Linked DNA regions of Arabidopsis thaliana. The protein of the gene in region 2 purifies or fractionates together with the protein of the main gene of each other region. This does not show direct contact. Each region holds a gene or a part of one and is shown on either strand. Other genes may lie near its edges.

The links.
Region 1: the proteins of AT5G48480 (region 2) and AT2G43090 fractionate together in Arabidopsis thaliana (co-fractionation; one large-scale study listed by BioGRID). This does not show direct contact.

What each region holds. Positions count from the first base shown.
Region 1 is NC_003071.7:17,917,080-17,921,258, forward strand, and holds AT2G43090 (Aconitase/3-isopropylmalate dehydratase protein), read left to right. Parts: upstream 1-1,846; 5' UTR 1,847-1,877; coding exon 1,878-2,633; 3' UTR 2,634-2,645; intron 2,646-3,102; 3' UTR 3,103-3,417; downstream 3,418-4,179. Other genes in the region: AT-P4H-1 (P4H), read left to right, coding at 114-188, 421-495, 588-658, 752-803, 1,052-1,141, 1,230-1,322, 1,413-1,520; IPMI2 (isopropylmalate isomerase 2), read left to right, coding at 3,606-4,179. UniProt on the Arabidopsis thaliana protein: Catalyzes the isomerization between 2-isopropylmalate and 3-isopropylmalate, via the formation of 2-isopropylmaleate. Plays an essential role in leucine biosynthesis.
Region 2 is NC_003076.8:19,642,451-19,647,541, reverse strand, and holds AT5G48480 (Lactoylglutathione lyase / glyoxalase I family protein), read right to left. Parts: upstream 3,004-5,091; 5' UTR 2,729-3,003; coding exon 2,445-2,728; intron 2,101-2,444; coding exon 1,884-2,100; 3' UTR 1,226-1,883; coding exon of another isoform or gene 917-1,225; 3' UTR 702-916; downstream 1-701. Other genes in the region: DIR1 (Bifunctional inhibitor/lipid-transfer protein/seed storage 2S albumin superfamily protein), read left to right, coding at 917-1,225; AT5G48470 (uncharacterized protein), read right to left, coding at 3,415-3,459, 3,540-3,599, 3,700-3,765, 3,878-4,036, 4,131-4,274, 4,357-4,527, 4,625-4,693, 4,916-5,071.

The DNA.
Region 1 (4,179 bases), on a different chromosome or scaffold from region 2:
ATCTTAGGCTCAGTTCTAAGTATTATCATAAGAATTAGCAAAAGAGCTTTTGGCTGTTTTTTGTCTTCCCATTAAAATAGTTTTCTTGTTTCTCCTGATATGTATATTTGCAGGAATGTGAATACCTAAAAGCAATCGCCCGGCCTCGCCTTCAAGTTTCCACTGTTGTTGATGTAAAAACCGGAAAGGTATTGGACAATACCTTCCTTTTAGTTCTGTAGAAGAAGTAAAATTTCTATTACATCCACTCTCTGCCTTCGATTGTTCAGTTGTTTCAATCAAACATTGGACACAAATAGAAACGCTCTAGGTTTGCCTGCAAAGTCTAATTCATTCTCTTCCATAGTAGACATATTCTAGTTATGCTTTCAAAGTCTTAACCATACTCTTCCATTTTCTTATCACTTTCTTCTTGCTTAGGGAGTTAAAAGTGACGTGAGGACAAGCTCCGGAATGTTTCTAACTCATGTAGAAAGAAGTTATCCAATAATACAGGTAAGTCACTCTCTCATATCTTTTAAAGGCGTGCCATTTTGATCAACTTTACAATTTTGTAAATTATATTCCTTTTCGTTTGCTATTATTAGGCAATTGAAAAGCGAATTGCAGTCTTTTCTCAAGTACCAGCGGAAAATGGAGAACTTATTCAAGTTCTAAGGTGCGTGCACAACCGCAACCTTACTATTTTTTAAATCTAAAGTAAACGAAGCTTTTTTCTTGTTTTGATGAATCAAAATCTGCTGCAGTGCAGATATGAGCCGCAGCAGTTTTACAAACCACATCACGATTACTTTGCTGACACTGTAAGTCTTTGGTTCTGTTTTCATATATATATATCATTAGTAGATTGGTAAAGAAAGCTTTTGCTCTGATTAAAAAAAAAACTAAAAAGAGGCTACAGTATTTAACTTTTGGTTTGGTCAATAATGTTTAGTTGGATCTGTACTTCATCTTCTCCTTCTTCATCATCTTAGAACATTTAGTTTGGAAGTACGTTTATTGTGGGTGTTCATCATATTTCCTCGTTTCTTTTCTTATGGTTGCTACACAGTTCAATCTAAAGCGTGGTGGTCAGCGCGTAGCAACTATGCTTATGTATCTAACTGATGACGTCGAAGGAGGAGAAACTTATTTCCCTTTGGTATAACACTTTCTCTCTGTTCATGCAAATTTCAGAAAACAAAATAAACCAATGGTGTAATATCTCTCTCTCTCTACTTGAAATGCAGGCTGGTGATGGTGATTGCACCTGTGGTGGCAAAATCATGAAAGGCATCTCTGTTAAACCCACCAAAGGAGACGCAGTTCTCTTCTGGAGCATGGTTTGTTTCTTCAATCTCTCTCTCTATGTCTCTACACAAACATGAATCAATTGGACTGCTTTGAGTTCAATTACTTCTTGTGTTATTCAGGGACTCGACGGACAGTCAGATCCTAGGAGCATACATGGAGGATGTGAAGTTCTGTCTGGAGAAAAGTGGTCTGCTACTAAATGGATGAGGCAAAAAGCTACTTCTTGAAGAACTACTTAAAACTTTTTAAAACAAAAAGAAACCACAGGGACTTATATTGAAAAATGTCATAGTATCTCAGAGTTTTGATTTACTCTCTTTTTGACCCTTCAATTTTAGAATTTATCATTTACATACGTAAATCAATATGAATGTGTTTTACATTTTAACCTCTCCAACAAATTCTAAATTACTGTTAGCATATAACTGACACAGAAAACAATTACTGTTACAAAAGAATTAACTATCATTTCACCGAAATAACGAAGGAGAGTGGCATTTTGGTAAATAAGAACAAAGTCTCTATTTATAATCGCATTTTGGTTGACTTGCTTCAATCTTGACCACAGCAAAGAGAAACAAACAATGGCGGCTTCTCTGCAATCAGCAAACCCTACATTGTCACGAACCCTAGCTTCTCCGAACAAACCTTCCTCCTTCGCCACCTTCCGATCTCCATTTCTCAGATTCAATTCAACATCCGTCGCTTCCAATTTCAAACCCCTAGTTTCTCGAGAAGCATCCTCATCGTTCGTCACTCGCTCCGCCGCCGAGCCACAAGAAAGAAAAACCTTCCATGGACTGTGCTATGTCGTCGGCGACAACATCGACACTGACCAAATCATTCCCGCGGAGTTTCTCACTCTCGTCCCTTCGAATCCAGAGGAATACGAGAAACTCGGTTCTTACGCTTTAGTTGGTCTTCCAGCTTCTTACAAGGAACGATTCGTTCAGCCAGGTGAGATGAAGACGAAGTACTCAATCATCATTGGCGGTGAAAACTTTGGATGTGGATCGTCACGTGAACATGCTCCGGTTTGTTTAGGAGCAGCGGGAGCTAAAGCAGTGGTGGCTCAGTCTTATGCTAGAATCTTTTTCAGGAACTCTGTTGCTACTGGTGAGGTTTATCCTTTGGATTCTGAAGTTAGGGTTTGTGATGAGTGTACAACTGGTGATGTTGCGACTGTTGAGTTGAGGGAAGGAGATAGTATTTTGATCAATCATACGACTGGGAAAGAGTACAAGCTTAAGCCGATTGGTGATGCTGGACCAGTGATTGATGCTGGTGGTATATTTGCTTATGCTAGGAAAGCTGGAATGATTCCATCTGCTGCTGCTTGATTTTGACTTCAGGTATGATTCTGTAACTTGATGATGATGATGATGAGGATTGGTAATAGGTTAGGATTGAGATCGAATTTGTGGAATAGTCTAGGAAGCTTGACATTGAATTGAACGATGCAAAACATAGTTTTCAATGGTTCTAGTTAGAGAAAGAGAACACAGTAGTTGGGATTCTAGTTTTGTGTTGTTTAAAATGTGTTGGTTTAGTTTTTGTGTGAGATTGATAATGACTTGTTATTCTTTCTCTTCGCTTAAGACTTACTTTATCTTTCCATTGGTTCAATTTCTAGATTGTACATCTCTTGATTGTAGTTGTTGGGAGGGTAAAAGTTATGATGTTGGCTGATCTTTTCCATGCTCATATCCATTAAGACTTGAGTGTCCGATAGTAGAACAATACTTCACTCTTATTTTGTCTCTAAGACTCCTTTTTTTTTTTCCTTTTTTTGTTCTATTTGTTTTGCAGGTGTCAATGGAAGTGCATGAGAGTCACTTCAAGGATCTTGATCCAATAATAAGAATATGTAATGTTTCCAAAAGCTTATGAACCTAATCTATGTTTTATGAATATATATGACTATCGGCTTTAGTCTTCAGTATCAGTTTCTTGTTTACATTTGGATGTATCAGCTGCTAAAAAAATGCATAGTTTCCCATCCCATTTGAAACGACGTTTTCTCTCATGTCTTCCACTAATATAATCTTCTGGTCATGAGAACAGAACAGGAGCTCTGTTTTTCTCACACAATGATCGAACACACTTTTGTCATATAGTATAGAGAAATATTAACACTTCTTTTTAGGCATCCGTATCTAGAGTCTTTGTTTCACTGTGACCTACCTAAGTATATCAAAACGCACGTTTGGAATTCTGAATGGCACTTTCGTAAATAGGAGGGTACAAACATTTCTCCTTTTAAATTGTTTTCATCGTGAACTCTCTCACTCACTCAACAAAGTAAAGAAACAATGGCGTATTCTCTTCCTACATTTCCCCAAGCCTTACCTTGCTCGTCAACCAAAACTTCTTCCTCCTTGGCTACCTTCCGATCTCCTTTCTTAAGATTCAATGGTTCCACTTCCTTAATCCCCTCCTCTATCTCCATCACTTCACGTGGCACATCCTCCCCGACCATCATCCCACGTGCTGCCGCCTCAGAATCCGACTCTAACGAAGCCCTAGCCAACACAACCTTCCACGGCCTCTGCTATGTCTTGAAAGACAACATAGACACCGACCAGATCATCCCAGCAGGAGCCGCTTGCACCTTCCCATCGAACCAGCAAGAGCGTGATGAGATCGCCGCTCACGCTCTCTCTGGTCTACCAGACTTCCACAAAACACGGTTCATTGAGCCAGGAGAGAACAGATCAAAGTACTCAATCATAATCGGCGGCGAAAACTTTGGTTGCGGATCGTCACGTGAACATGCTCCGGTCTGTCTTGGAGCAGCTGGAGCTAAAGCCATAGTTGCTGAGTCTTACGCAAGAATCTTTTTCCGTAACTCGGTTGCTACAGGAGAGGTGTTTCCGCTCGAGTCAG
Region 2 (5,091 bases):
GTTATAGTCTTTCTATTTCTAACCTTCGTTGGCCAAGGCCTAATTTGCTTTTCCTAAAATCTCTTTAACAAAAAGAAGATAATTGTGAATTAGGTAAAATAATGATTGCCACTATACAGTTTTTACTTTTTAGGTTTCGGTAAAACAGTGATCGCCGGTAAAAACAGTAATTGTAGTTGAAAAACGATTAGATGGTGAAAAAGTATCAACTATAAAAATACATATATTAAATCCACTAAACCATTTCGTAGACCAAATAATCATCTCGTATGTGCCATGCTTATGAGTTTATCACTAATTACACTAATAGGACTGAAATTCTCAAAGAAAATAAAACATTTATTTGAAAATAGAACAGCAAAAAAATTGAGAATCTAGAGATTTGGATTTATTCTTCGTTCTATATTTTGTCCCGTTTATATACTAACTGATGTTCTCATTTGTTTTGTGGTTAAAGTAGCTAACTGTTGTTGACACTTAACAGTAATACTCGCTAACTGTTTTATTTTCGTAATTTGTGAAACTTCTTAGAGTACTCTTACTTGGGCTCATATCAGGCCCAGTATTTTGCGGATGTTTATTAATGTGTTTTTTTTCGATTAAAAGAGAATTTTATATACAAATACAATGTGCAAGTTGAATTTTCTTTTTCCATTTGTAGTAAAAGATTTGTGGACTGGAAATTGTGTAATCGATACTTGATAATTGATAAGAATCCGAAAGCTTATGATTCTATGACAAAAGACCCTCTCCCAAAAGTAAAGTGGAAAAACACATCCCCGTGACTATATGGAGCAATCCAATCTGGTTCACGGGTTTCTCTAAAACTTGATATATATACACCTTCTCATGCACATTCATTTCAACACCACAAACACAAACAAACATATAGAAAAAGAGAGAGGAGGATAATAATATGGCGAGCAAGAAAGCAGCTATGGTTATGATGGCGATGATCGTGATAATGGCTATGTTGGTCGATACATCAGTAGCGATAGATCTCTGCGGCATGAGCCAGGATGAGTTGAATGAGTGCAAACCAGCGGTTAGCAAGGAGAATCCGACGAGCCCATCACAGCCTTGCTGCACCGCTCTGCAACACGCTGATTTTGCATGTCTTTGTGGTTACAAGAACTCTCCATGGCTCGGTTCTTTCGGTGTTGATCCTGAACTCGCTTCTGCTCTCCCCAAACAGTGTGGTCTAGCCAACGCCCCAACTTGTTAAAAGACTCTGTATACGTGTGTTTATGTTTTTTATTACTCCTATTCTAAATATCGGATGTTATTAATAAATCGTATTTTCTGCCAAATGGCGTTTATGGGTTAACCCCAAAAACTGGTCAAAAGAAAAGAAAGAGGACCAATCGAAAACTACACAAGGCCCAAACACGGAAGGGCAATTTCGAAAAATATGTAACCAATAAGCGATAGAGAGAAACCACAAAGCACAAATACAGAGGTTTATGGTTTCACTACCTCTGACACAGTATTCAACACTCTGACACCAAAACAACAAATATTCTTAATTCCGTCTTATCTAATCACTAACCATTTCATTTTCATTCCAAATAGACGATTATACCCTTAGTACTAAACCAACAAAAATGACAAAGAACACAGATTAAACACAGAACGATTATAGAAGATAGATAGAGAAGCGAAATCATCAACAAAACATAATATAGCCCGAGATTAATATGCAATTTCACCAAGATTAGAGTTTGTCAAAAGGGGTGAAATTAGAATCCGAAAGTCATTAGCCTACTCGATCCGGTTTACTGATTACCGGATTCCACAAAAGACAAAATAAAAGCATAAACCTAGGATAATAGATAGTTTTTTTTGTTCAGAAACCGACGAAGAATTAGATCCGACGACAGATTCTAAACCTCTTTGTTCTCGTCGGTGATCACGGTCTTCTTCTCCGCGAAGATCCAAGTGACACCAAAAGGATCCGTAACTTTTCCTTTGAATCCCAGTTCAACTTCTGCCTCCGTAACCTCCACTTTCACAGCTCCGGCGTCAACAGCTTTCGCAACGGCGGCTTCAGCATCCTTAGTTCCGAGAAGAAAAGTCACTCCCGAACCTTCCGATTTCGCACTGTTTAACGATTTAAAAAAGAAACAAAACCACATAAGTAAACAGTAATCGTATTTAAGAAAAGGCACAATCATCCACTTAAAATAGTTTTTTAAGCGTTATAAAAGTTTCCAAAAACTATTCATTTCAAAAACCTAAATCCAGATCTAAAACGAACAAAAAAATCGTGTTTAAGGGAGAGGAATAACTTCTAAACATGATTTATTCTCCAGATTTCTTCTAATAAAACAACCTAAAACCAGATCTAAAACGAAATCAAACACTAAACGAACAAAAACCTAAAAAAAAAACAGAAAACATGGAGATCTAGAAGCTAAACACCAAAACGAGAGAGAGAGACTTACGTAGAAAAACCAGGGAGAGAGGAAACGTCGCAAACAACGAAGGAAGAGCCAGCGAGATTAAGCTCAGAAGAGAGAACATGAGGAAGCTCTTGGTCAAGCTTACGCTTAGGGTAAAGAGAATGACCAGACTCGATCGCACCAAAAGCAGATTTGTAGAAAGTAACAGCGTCACCGACCTTTTGAGCTTCAACGAGCAACATCTGCTTGAACTCAGTGAAGACAAGATGCGTCTCCACCGGACCAGCACCGTTAGTAGCAACAGCAGTAACATCTTCTTGAGCCATCGCAGAGAGAAAATAAAACTTTGAGAAGAGAGATTCGTTTACGGTTAAGAGAGAAATGAAAATTGCGTGTGAAAGAACAATCTAGAGACGATGAGTGAGATATTTATGAAGGAAGCGGAGAAGCGGAATCGTTTCGTGTAACCTGACGAGGATTTCAAATGGATATAACAATTGCTCTCACGTCCGTGGATTTTTACCCTTACTTTTTGATTTATTTACGTGAATATGCCCCTACTAATCACTTTTCATTTACTACCCTATAGGACTCGTGTCTCGTTCGCATGTCTCCTCTATTAAACCGTTGGAAAGAAATCAATTAAAATTGGTTACTCGAATATTTTAATCTTTGTTATATACTGTGTCATCAAATATTTTAGTTTGTTATCATTGTGTAACTCTGAATGGTACACATAGGACAAAAGTTACGATTTTATTTTTTCCCATCCGTTTCGAATGGGTTTAAAGATATGTTAATATCACTACCATTATTCTTTTTTTTCTTCTATCCCTTTCCAATTTTATTTTACGTCACATGTAACTTTTGAGGTTTAATGGATGTGCATAGTTTAGTAGAGAGACATTATATGTCATATCAACCAACCAAATTACAAATTATATACCGATCAAGATTATTTCAGGACGCAATCTCTACCTGCGAGTCTTTCTTGATGTAACAAAAGATATTACTAATAAGCGATTTCTTCAAGAACTTGGAGGGTTTTTTGGTGAACCTGTGAACAGAAATAAACTATGATGAATGCAAAGAAACGAGACTTTGGTTGCAAATGTTTTGGTGTTATGAGGAACTTACCCATTCTAGATGTTGTGCTGTTATCCCGGAGGCATTACCCGAGTATATACTTCCCAGTACCTATCAAGATTGGATTTAAACATCACATAAAAAAGTGGTCAATGTTCTCTATTACTATCATCTGTTGAACATAGGGGATCGAGGAATGTTGGAAACATACCTTTGTGACAGTTTCTAGAAACATTCCTGGTCTTACTGGTAACGGTTTTCTTCCTGTAACGCTTCCCTGAGATCGCATCAAGTAGGCCAAGTAAGAAAAGAAGACATATCTTTGGTTCAGAGCCTACTGAAAAAGTCTTCTCTTTTAACAAAACAATGTGTCACTTGATCATACTTACCCTTCCATTTAATCCACTTGGTTTTCTTCCTTCGGTAGAAGAATCGTCTTCTTTGCTAAGATTATCTGCGCCTTCATCTTTCCCTTGCATTACATTCTGGATCATCTGCTGCACAGTCTTTCCAGGTTTCAAAGCTACCAATTTGGCTAAGAAATTCACCTGTTTGACGATCAAGCAACAAGTCACTGTATCTCAATGTTTAAAAAATGTTCACAAACACAGCATCATGGACATAATAGTTTGTCACACAAACCTCTGATTCAGGAAGAGTAGTGAAACCTCGGTCATTTCTTTCATCAAGTATACCTCCTCCCATCATGTTCCGGGCTTCCTCTCTAATCAAAACAAGCCTCGCTAGTAGTTTTCGATCCGGAATAGCTGGCCTTGTTTCCATAGTCTGCAAAAATCCTCAGACTTGTTCACATTCTCAAACTATCTCAAATACAGATTGATATCTATACTTAAACAAACACAAGTACCTCTAGCAAGTCATCAGCTTGATTAGCTATGTCATTCAGATTTGCTCCGGGTATATGAAGTTTAGTACCGTTCTCACTTTCAAAAGCCCCACCACCTGCAGCCACCCTACGCAGAAGCTCATGTCTACTTTCCTTTTTCGGGGTTCTACAGAGTAAACCAATCACCTGGACCTAAATATGGAGCAACACTTACACAAAATTAAAAACATGAAATGAAGCTAATGAAAAATTTAGAAAGTAAGAAGAAACTAATCTTAATATTACTCACATGAGGAGGGCATTTCTTGGTGAGATGAGATAAGACAGTCTCCTTGACGACCTCTAGTAAAGACTTTCTCTGAATCCAAAACAAAAATTCTTTAATCCTTTGTCCCAGCTTATGCTACAGAACTAATGGCAAGACTAACAACAGCCATAAAATCCAGAGAACATGTAATATTTGCTACACTACATTGCAAAAGCAATTCTAGCTATCCTGGTCGTTCTATGTAGCAAAACTCAAGTCAATTCTAGAAATATTTTTGTGTACATTCAGAGGGAAAATGCAGAATTGGTTTACCTTCTCGTCTTGGTCTTTGTCTGCAAGTTGGATCATGTAATCAAGAGCCATCATAAACCCTGATTCCATTTCATCAACCCTTTTCCCTATAACTCCTTGTGCAGCCAATTCTACAGCAACATTCTCAGATGCTTCATTCATCTTCATATCTTCCAACTACACATCAGAGACATATC